Linked DNA regions of Ovis aries. The protein of the gene in region 1 interacts with the protein of each later gene in a pairwise test. Links are inferred from orthologs where the notes say so. Each region holds a gene or a part of one and is shown in the gene's direction. Other genes may lie near its edges. The genes, in order: BMX and PTPN21.

Region 1 (3,814 bases):
ATTAATCAGGTTAGTTTGTATACCCATAACACCCTGCAAATACTTTGTTTTCAAGTTAATAAAAATTTCTTACTCAGAAAAAAATATCAGAATTCGTAATAGTCATAACTGCTTTTTGACCAAAAATTGTATTACCCAGGTCAACTGCTTATCTTTTATGTGCCAGAATTTGGCTGCAAAGATTTTCTGGCTGTTTCCAAAAACTAAATTCATTCTTAAATAATCTGACCCTAGTAAGAATACTCAAAATAAACCAAAACCTCTGAAAGCAATTATCAAAGAGGAGCCCCAGACATTTTAAGCAATGATATTATTCATGAGATAAGTGGACCCGCTTCAAAGGAGAGAGTTGTGAAGGAGTCAACAAATTTTTGGATGGTTCTTTTAGAATGTTTAAAACACACACACACAGTCTCCACAAATTGTAATAATGCCTGACTATAAATATTTTACATAAAATCTGTAGCCCTAAAAGTCAAAGTTTTGAAGTTAGTACTTCAGTTATGGTTCTAGAACAATTTTCTCCCCGCTTACATATGTCTGTTTTTCTAAAGCTTTTGAGGTTGGCTGACTGCTGGAATTCTCTGGCATGGCTAGTATGACAGCACAATGGCCACCATTTAGAGAGCTTAAAATGTCCCCAGTGTCCTTTAAGTGCTCCCAGTGTTTCATCCTGTTCAATCCTCATGACAACTTTGTGACATGCAAATATCCACATATTACAGACGGGAAAGCAGAACTGAGAAGGGCAAAGAAGCTTGCCCACCTTGTAAGTGGCAAACCTGTGCCTCAAAAGCCATGTCTGACTGGCCCCAGACGCCACCCTCTTGCCCACCATGACCAGAGCTCAGTTCCTTAATCTGGAGTCTGCCATACTCTGGATACTTCCAGAAAACACTCTGTGAACTTCCAGAAAATGAGTCAGAAAATTCTGTGCATTCACTGTCTTGAGGGGAAGCCAATGGTTTTAAGCAGATTCTCAAAAGGACACCTGACCCACAAAGTATTTTAGAACACAGGTCCCCAACCTCTAGGGCAGAGACCCGGTGCCTCCTGTCAGATCAGTGGCAACATTAGCTTAGAAATAAAGTGCATGATAAATGTAACACGTTTGAAACATCCCAAAACCATCCTGCCCCCTCCGGTCCCGGGGAAAAATTATCTTCCACGAAATGGGTCCCTGGTGCCAAGAAGGTGGAGAACCACCTTCCAGAGGACTGAGGCAATAGAAAAGCCGGAAAGTTGTCCATGACCTTATCTTAAATTTCCACCCAAAGGTAATGTGTGAGTGCCAGGAAATTATTGCCAAGGCAGAGAGAAAGGGCGGGGACTTCCGCGCCTCGCTCGAAGGGTTGAAGCTGGGGCTGTCCCTGTGGCTTCGACGGGGCCGCCGCCTCTCTGAAGCAGCCCAGGGGCCCTGGCCCCAGGGACCTCCCCCTGCAGCGACCCAGGCCGCCTCCCCGTTTCCCAGCAAGAATGGGCGTCGGGGCCTCAGGGAGCAGGAATAAGAGAGCTGGGGCTCCAGAAGGGCTAGCCCAGTCTGTCCTCCCTAACCCGCCCTTCTTGCTGGGACTCATCCCCCAGGGACCCAGGCTCTGACCCAGAGCCTTGCTGACGCGTGAAGCTCACGTGACAAACTGTACATTCTGACGTGGGCTCTCTTTCCTCTGTCGGCTGGCCGCCCTCGTCGCGGGGCAGGGATCCTGATGTGGGAAGTGTTCAGCCTGGGGAAGCAGCCCTACGACTTGTACGACAACTCGCAGGTGGTCGTGAAGGTCTCCCAGGGCCACCGGCTCTACCGGCCCCAGCTGGCGTCGGACACCGTCTACCACATCATGTACAGCTGCTGGCACGAGGCGAGTGCCCCACGACGGGGCGGGGCGGGCAGCGGCGCGGCGCACCCGGCGGCTTGTTGGGTCACCGCCCGAAGGAGCGCTTCTGAGCGCAGGCACTTGCTCCAGGGGCTTTCCGAGTGGCTCAGTGGTGAAGAGTTGGCCGCAGTACAGGAGACACAGGAGATGTGGTTCAGTCCTTGAATCTGGAAGATTCCCCTGGAGAAGGAAATGGCAACCCACTCCAGTATTCTTGCCTGGAGAATCCCATGGACAGAGGAGCCTGGCGGGCTGCAGTCCATGGGGTCGGACAGGACTGAAGCGACTGAGCATGCGCACACTTGCTACAGAGCAGGTGACGATGGCCCTGGGCCCCTGCTGAAGCCAGCACTATAGGTGCCAACAATTTTGTTCATATTTCTTTATGGCTCTGTCGAGTCTTAGTTGTGGTTATGCTCTTCTTACTTGCTCTGTCATGTCCGACTCTTTGTGAACCCATGGACTGTGGCCCGCCAGGCTCCTTTCTGTCCATGGAATTTTCCAGGCAAGAATACTGGAGTGGGTGACCATTTCCTTCTCCAGGGAATCCTCTCCACTCAGGGATCGAACCATGTCTTCTGCGTCTCCTGTATTGGCAGGATTCTTTACCACTGCACCACCTAAGAAGCTCAGCTTACTTTTAAATTCACTTACAGTTAAATTTTATTTTAAACTTAGTCAGTCTTGACCGTGCACAAAACTCTTTTCCCAGCGTCCACTTTCCACAAAACTCTTTACCACTTTTTGTAGTCATAATTTTATTTTCCCACTCAGAAACAGACACCTGTAAGTCACACCTGCTTCCTTTTCTCTTGGTGCCGGTTTAGTTGCTAAGTTGTGTCTGGCTCTTTCTGAATAGTTTTCTTAGCTATTTTGCATATTTAAAATCCACAAACTAGATAATCAATTTGTTCAGCTTAAAACAAGCTTGTTCATATTTGGAAGAGTTTGTATTCTAACTTGGGAGATTCATCATCTCTATGTTATTGATGTGTCCTATTCAAAGACAACCAATGTTATTTTCTATGTGCTCAATTCTACACTTGTGTTTTTCAGCAGCATTTTAAAGTTTTCCTCATTTTGGGGGTACTTTTTTTTAGTATTTTATTGGGGTTTGTTGCTATTGTAAATGGAGTTTTCTCTTCCAGTATATCTTCTAATTGGTTATTGTGTGTGTATATATATGGAGACTATCCAGTGTTCTTGCCTGGAGAATCCCAGGGACGGCAGAGCCTGGTGGGCTGCCGTCTATGGGGTCGCACAGAGTCGGACACGACTGAAGTGACTTACCAGCAGTAGCAGCAGCAGCAGCAGGAAGACTATAGATTTTGTCAGTTAATTTTATATGCTGCTCTCCTGATGAATTCCTTTGTTATTTGGGTTTGTTCTATCATTAATTCTCTTGGTTTTTCAAGGTATGCAGTCGTATCTTATGCAAATAAAGATACTCTTATTTTTCTTTCCCAATTCTTAGGGTTCTATTTGTTTTCTCTTTAGAAGAAATGTCTATAGCATTTCCACATTTTAAGAATTGCTAGTTTTAGGACTGAAGTATAAATATTTTACATAGTTTATTTTAAATCGGAACCCTCATAAATTAAACCATTGGATTTTTCTTTTATCTAGCTTCCAGAAAAGCGTCCCACATTTCAGCAGCTCCTATCATCCATTGAACCACTTCGGGAAAAAGACAAGCCTTGAAGAAGAAGTGAGAAGATCTGATGAGAATGAGTATAAATGTTGACCAACATTTTCATTCTTTTTAAGGAAAGTAGCCTAGCACAGATGTTGTAATTTAGCTAGTTTTGCTTAACGGTATTCTGTGTGCTGTTTTATCTGTTCTATTATCTAGAAAAAAACAAGGTAGGAAACAAAAGATTTCCTTGATATTTAGGTCAAGTTAGTGATTTTGTTTATGCTTCTCTTAGTATTACACCTCCCAG
Region 2 (4,463 bases), on another chromosome or scaffold:
TACGAATCTGTGCATCAGGGTTAGATCCCTGGCTGCGGGATCCCACACCCCTGCTTTGCAGATGGCTGCTGCAACTAGAAAAAAAGTCCACAGGCCGGAAGGAAGACAAAGCTTTCCAGAAACAAAGCTATTTTAAAAATAATTTACATTAAGTTTACATAACAGAAGGTTCTTTGCTCCAGTCACTCAAACCACTGGCCAAGTAAGAGCAAAACACCTATTGTTAAGGTTACTAGGACCACACAGTTTTATTCCTTGGCTTAAGTGTAGACCTGCAATAATGATAATGATGGTGACTGTAGTGTAATAGTACCATATAATAATAAAAGTTGCTCTTAGGGGTCAGAATGAAGCCCTTCATGTATGTTTTACACAAGTTGCTGGATAGTGATTATTTTCATTATTTCACAGGACATGAGCAGGCACAGAAAGGTTAAGAAATTTGCAAAAGGTCCTCCAGCTAGTTAGCTTGGCAGCTGAGATTCGAACCCAGACAACTGGACTCTGGAGTTCCCCGATCCTTAAAGCTCCACTTTGGACTGCATGAACATACAGCTCTGCTGAAGACCTAAAGGTTATTTGAGGCATATCAGTCTTTTTGGAGGCTTCCCTGCTGGCTCAGACTGTAAAGAATCTGCCTGCAGTGCGGGAAACCGGGGCGTAATCCCTGGGTTGGGAAGACCCCCTGGAGAAAGGCATGGCAATCCACTCCGCTATTCTTGCCTGGAGAACCCCATGGACAGAGGAGCCTGGTGGGCTACAGAACATGGGGTCGCAAGGAGTTGGACACGACTGAACGACTTTCACACACAATCTTTTTTAGGGGAAGGGGACTTTGCCACCCTGTATACCAGTCCTTCCCACCCTGTTATCAATCCTTTTTTTATGGAGTATGCCCTTAGACGAAAGCAACGGAGAAGAAAGAGACTATTTGAACTGTTTTCAGACATGTAGACGAGTAAACGAACAACTCCGGCAATAGTACCCTTTTACCGATCACCTAGTAACGCGGGAATAACACCCTTTACCTGGCACCGAAATGTTACCCCCTCCTCTCATTTTTGTTAAGGCCTCGCTTTATTTGGAAACTCTTAAAATAAGCGGTCATATGATTCAAACAAGCAGCGGCGCGCCCCCTCCCCGGCGGCCGGGCGCAGCTGTCCGCGCCTCCCCCGCCCGCATTCCAGCCCTCTGAGGTCACGGGCCGCCGCCGCCTCTCCGGATCCGCCCGCCCGCCCGGCCCGGGGGAGGGACGCCCGGGCCCGGCCGCCCTGCTGCTCCGGCCGCGCGTCCTCCGGCTGCCCGGCCCGCGCCGGGCCTCTGCGTGCGGCGCCGCCGGCCCCAGCTGCGGGCCTCCGCCCTCGGCGCGGGGGAATGCGCGGCGGGCCGGGGCCGGGGCGACAGGAAGCGAGGCGCGCGGGCCCCGTGAGCGCGCTGCGGCGGGGGCTGGAGTGCGGGCGCGGCTGCGGCGGCAGCGCGGCGGGGCCCCGCGGGGCGGGCCGCTGAGCGGGGCGCGCGGCCCCGAGGATGCGGCGGCGGGAGCAGGTGAGGGCGCGGGGCCCCGGCCCGCGGGGCGCGGGGCGCGGGGCGCGGGGGGGGGGGCGGCGGGGGCTGAGCGCGGGGCTGTGTCCGCCAGCCAACACCCCCGAGTCCGGGGAGGACGCGTCCCGGCTGCCCAGACCCGAGGCAGGGACGAGCGTAACAAAGAGAAAAAACTCTTCCAGGCTGTCTTCCACTTGAGGCATTTGCAGAGGGGTCTTGAACTTGTATTCGGAGCTCCTCGGTTGATTGTGAGCGGCTTAATTCTGCATCTGGGCTTTAAAAGTCTTAGGCATGTTTGTGCCTCTCGGCACAATATTAAGTGCGAGATTTGCCAGATAACTTTGGCGAGAAGGAGAGGAACGAAGGACTGTTTCGTGGTGATGGCTTGTTTTGGTTTTGGAGTAAAGAGTGTTTACTCTGGAAAAAAGAATTCTTGGGTCTGCAAATTCCGACTTGTGATTTCTGCAAATCCTGATTAGACTGGCCGCTTTTGGCATGCCCGTCTTATTTTCTTTTTTGCTGAGAAAGCCTTATAATAGCGTATGCTCGCAAACCGGTTCATAATAACTCCGCGTGCGCCAGGTGACAACCGCTGTATGCCTAAGGGTTGCTGATAGATTTTCCTTTTTTCTAACTTTGGGATATGATAGGAATTTTATTCTGAAAGTAGTTGTCTGTTGTTTCCAGCACATTTTATTCTCGAGTTCTACGCATAAATGTGTTCACGACAAATATGCGTTGGATTTAATGCTATATATCTATTCATTATTCTAAGAATACAATTTTAGAGATTATTTTATTTGAAAGCATCATTAATAAAATTACACGTAATGAGGACTGTAGCAACAAAGCGGAAAACTACAGGATTCAGACTTTAAAAGTGTATTTGAGAAGCTTCTGAGAGGGGATGTAAAAACATTAAAATGATACTTGAACATAATTAATATATACCTATTTTTTAAATTTCAAAATAAAGTGATTTTGTAGAGAAACAAAATATCTTAGTATATTTTCCTGCAAAAGCTAATTATGAATGTCTGTTTAGTAATCAGTTAAGACTTCCAGACCCAGCTACCTTTCAAATTATTTCATATTATTTTACACCTGAAACAGACACCCCCCCAAAGCATCTTCAAATTCTACTCTATTCAAACATTCATAACTTTATGACAATATTTGGTAGCAAATACTGTACATAACTGAAAATTGTGTAAATTGTTTCACACACACATACCCTTCAACTTTTTCAATTACTTTTTATAACATCTACCAAAATAAAAAAGAGAAAACGTTGGCTTGTCTATATCCTTGATGCAGTAAAACATTTCAAACTCAGGGACAGCAAAGTTTTACTCTGCTTCATCAGAGCTTAAATTGATAATTAAGTTATATAATGTAATATCTACTGCCTTCAGGGCGTAATTCATATTTGCAGTGAAGAGAATACCATGTTTGAACATCCCTAATACAAATTTTCATCTTTCCTCTGTACAACTTAACTGTTGTTTCCAGTTACCATAATTTGTATGTAAAATTTAAATTCATTACCTTATCTCTTGATAGGGTATTTAGCATATCTATCTATAAGGGTATCTATAATCTTTTAAAATGTACTCATGCATGGCTCATAGGCACTTTTCTAGTTGAAAGGTTATTATTTCAAGTTCTCACTTACGGATTTTATTTTTCATTTTGTCTCAACGAGCTATTTGGTTTATACCCTGACACACACAAGAGCACTGAAAACTGCAGGTAGAGCCCATGTCTTTTCATAATGTCTATTTTCTATTCCCTTCTTTAGTAAGGTGCTTTTACCTTCCAGAGGTACACGGCAAATGCTGTTAAATTAACACAGTGGCTTATGCACTTCTAGTTTTCTTTTTTCTTCTGGCCTTTTCCCTCTATTCCCTGTTTTTAACTTTTATTTTTCTGGCTCTCTGTGGATAACCAGAGCTCAAACAAACAAAACCCGAACCCAGACAACAAAAGCAGAAAGTCGTGGTTGGGTCCTTATTAGAGATACAGCCATGTATGTAATTATAGCTTGCTTGTAATCTACTTAAGAGCAAGGATGGCTTAGGAATTGATTCCTTTTAGACTTTCTGTAGGGCTTCCCTCGGAGAAGGCAATGGCACCCCACTCCAGTACTCTTGCCTGGAAAATCCAATGGACGGAGGAGCTTGGTGGGCTGCAGTCCATGGGGTCGCGAAGAGTCGGATACGACTGAGCGACTTCACTTTCACTTTCCTGCATTGGAGAAGGACATGGCAGCCCACTCCAGTGTTCTTGCCTGGAGAATCCCAGGGACGGGGTCGCACAGAGTCGGACACGAGTGAAGCGACTTGGCAGCAGCAGCAGCAGGCCTTCCCTGGTGGCTCAGCTGGTAAAGAATCCGCCTGCAGTGCGGGAGACCTGCGTTCAGTCCCTGGGAGAAGGAAACGGCCACCCGCTCCAGCACTGTGGCCTGGAGAATCCATGTACAGTCCATGGGGTCGCAAAGAGTCGGACACGACTGACAGTCTTTCACTACACGTCTCCACAAGGCCCACTGGGGGGCTTCCCCGGTGGCGCTAGAGGTAAAGAACCCCTGACTAAAGCAGGCAGACCTAAGAGACGGGGTCGATCCCTGGGTCGGGAAGATTCCCCTGGAGAAGGAATGGCAGCCCACTCCAGTATTCTTGCCCGGAGCATCCCTTGGACAGAGGAGCCTGGTGGGCTACAGTGCCTGGGGTGGCAGGGTCCAACAGGACTGCAGCGACTTAGCACACACGCCTAAAGGCCCTCTCCACAGCCTTGTCCTCAGAGACGCAGTCCACTTCGGTGAGACAGGATTATGAAGTGTTAGGTCTGCCAAAGCCGAGTAGAGCTAAACGCTGGTTCTCCTCACCCCCGCCCCCACCCCGGCCCAGCCCTGAGCGCCC

What was found.
Region 2: the proteins of BMX (region 1) and PTPN21 interact in binary tests that used the Homo sapiens proteins (3 or more experiments, as listed by UniProt). The link is inferred for Ovis aries from reciprocal best matches to the Homo sapiens genes BMX and PTPN21.

Annotation. Positions count from the first base shown.
Region 1 is NC_056080.1:13,717,174-13,720,987, forward strand, and holds part of BMX (cytoplasmic tyrosine-protein kinase BMX), read left to right. Parts: intron 1-1,698; coding exon 1,699-1,856; intron 1,857-3,497; coding exon 3,498-3,572; 3' UTR 3,573-3,814. UniProt on the Homo sapiens protein: Non-receptor tyrosine kinase that plays central but diverse modulatory roles in various signaling processes involved in the regulation of actin reorganization, cell migration, cell proliferation and survival, cell adhesion, and apoptosis.
Region 2 is NC_056060.1:98,303,747-98,308,209, reverse strand, and holds the start of PTPN21 (tyrosine-protein phosphatase non-receptor type 21), read left to right. Parts: upstream 1-1,504; 5' UTR 1,505-4,463.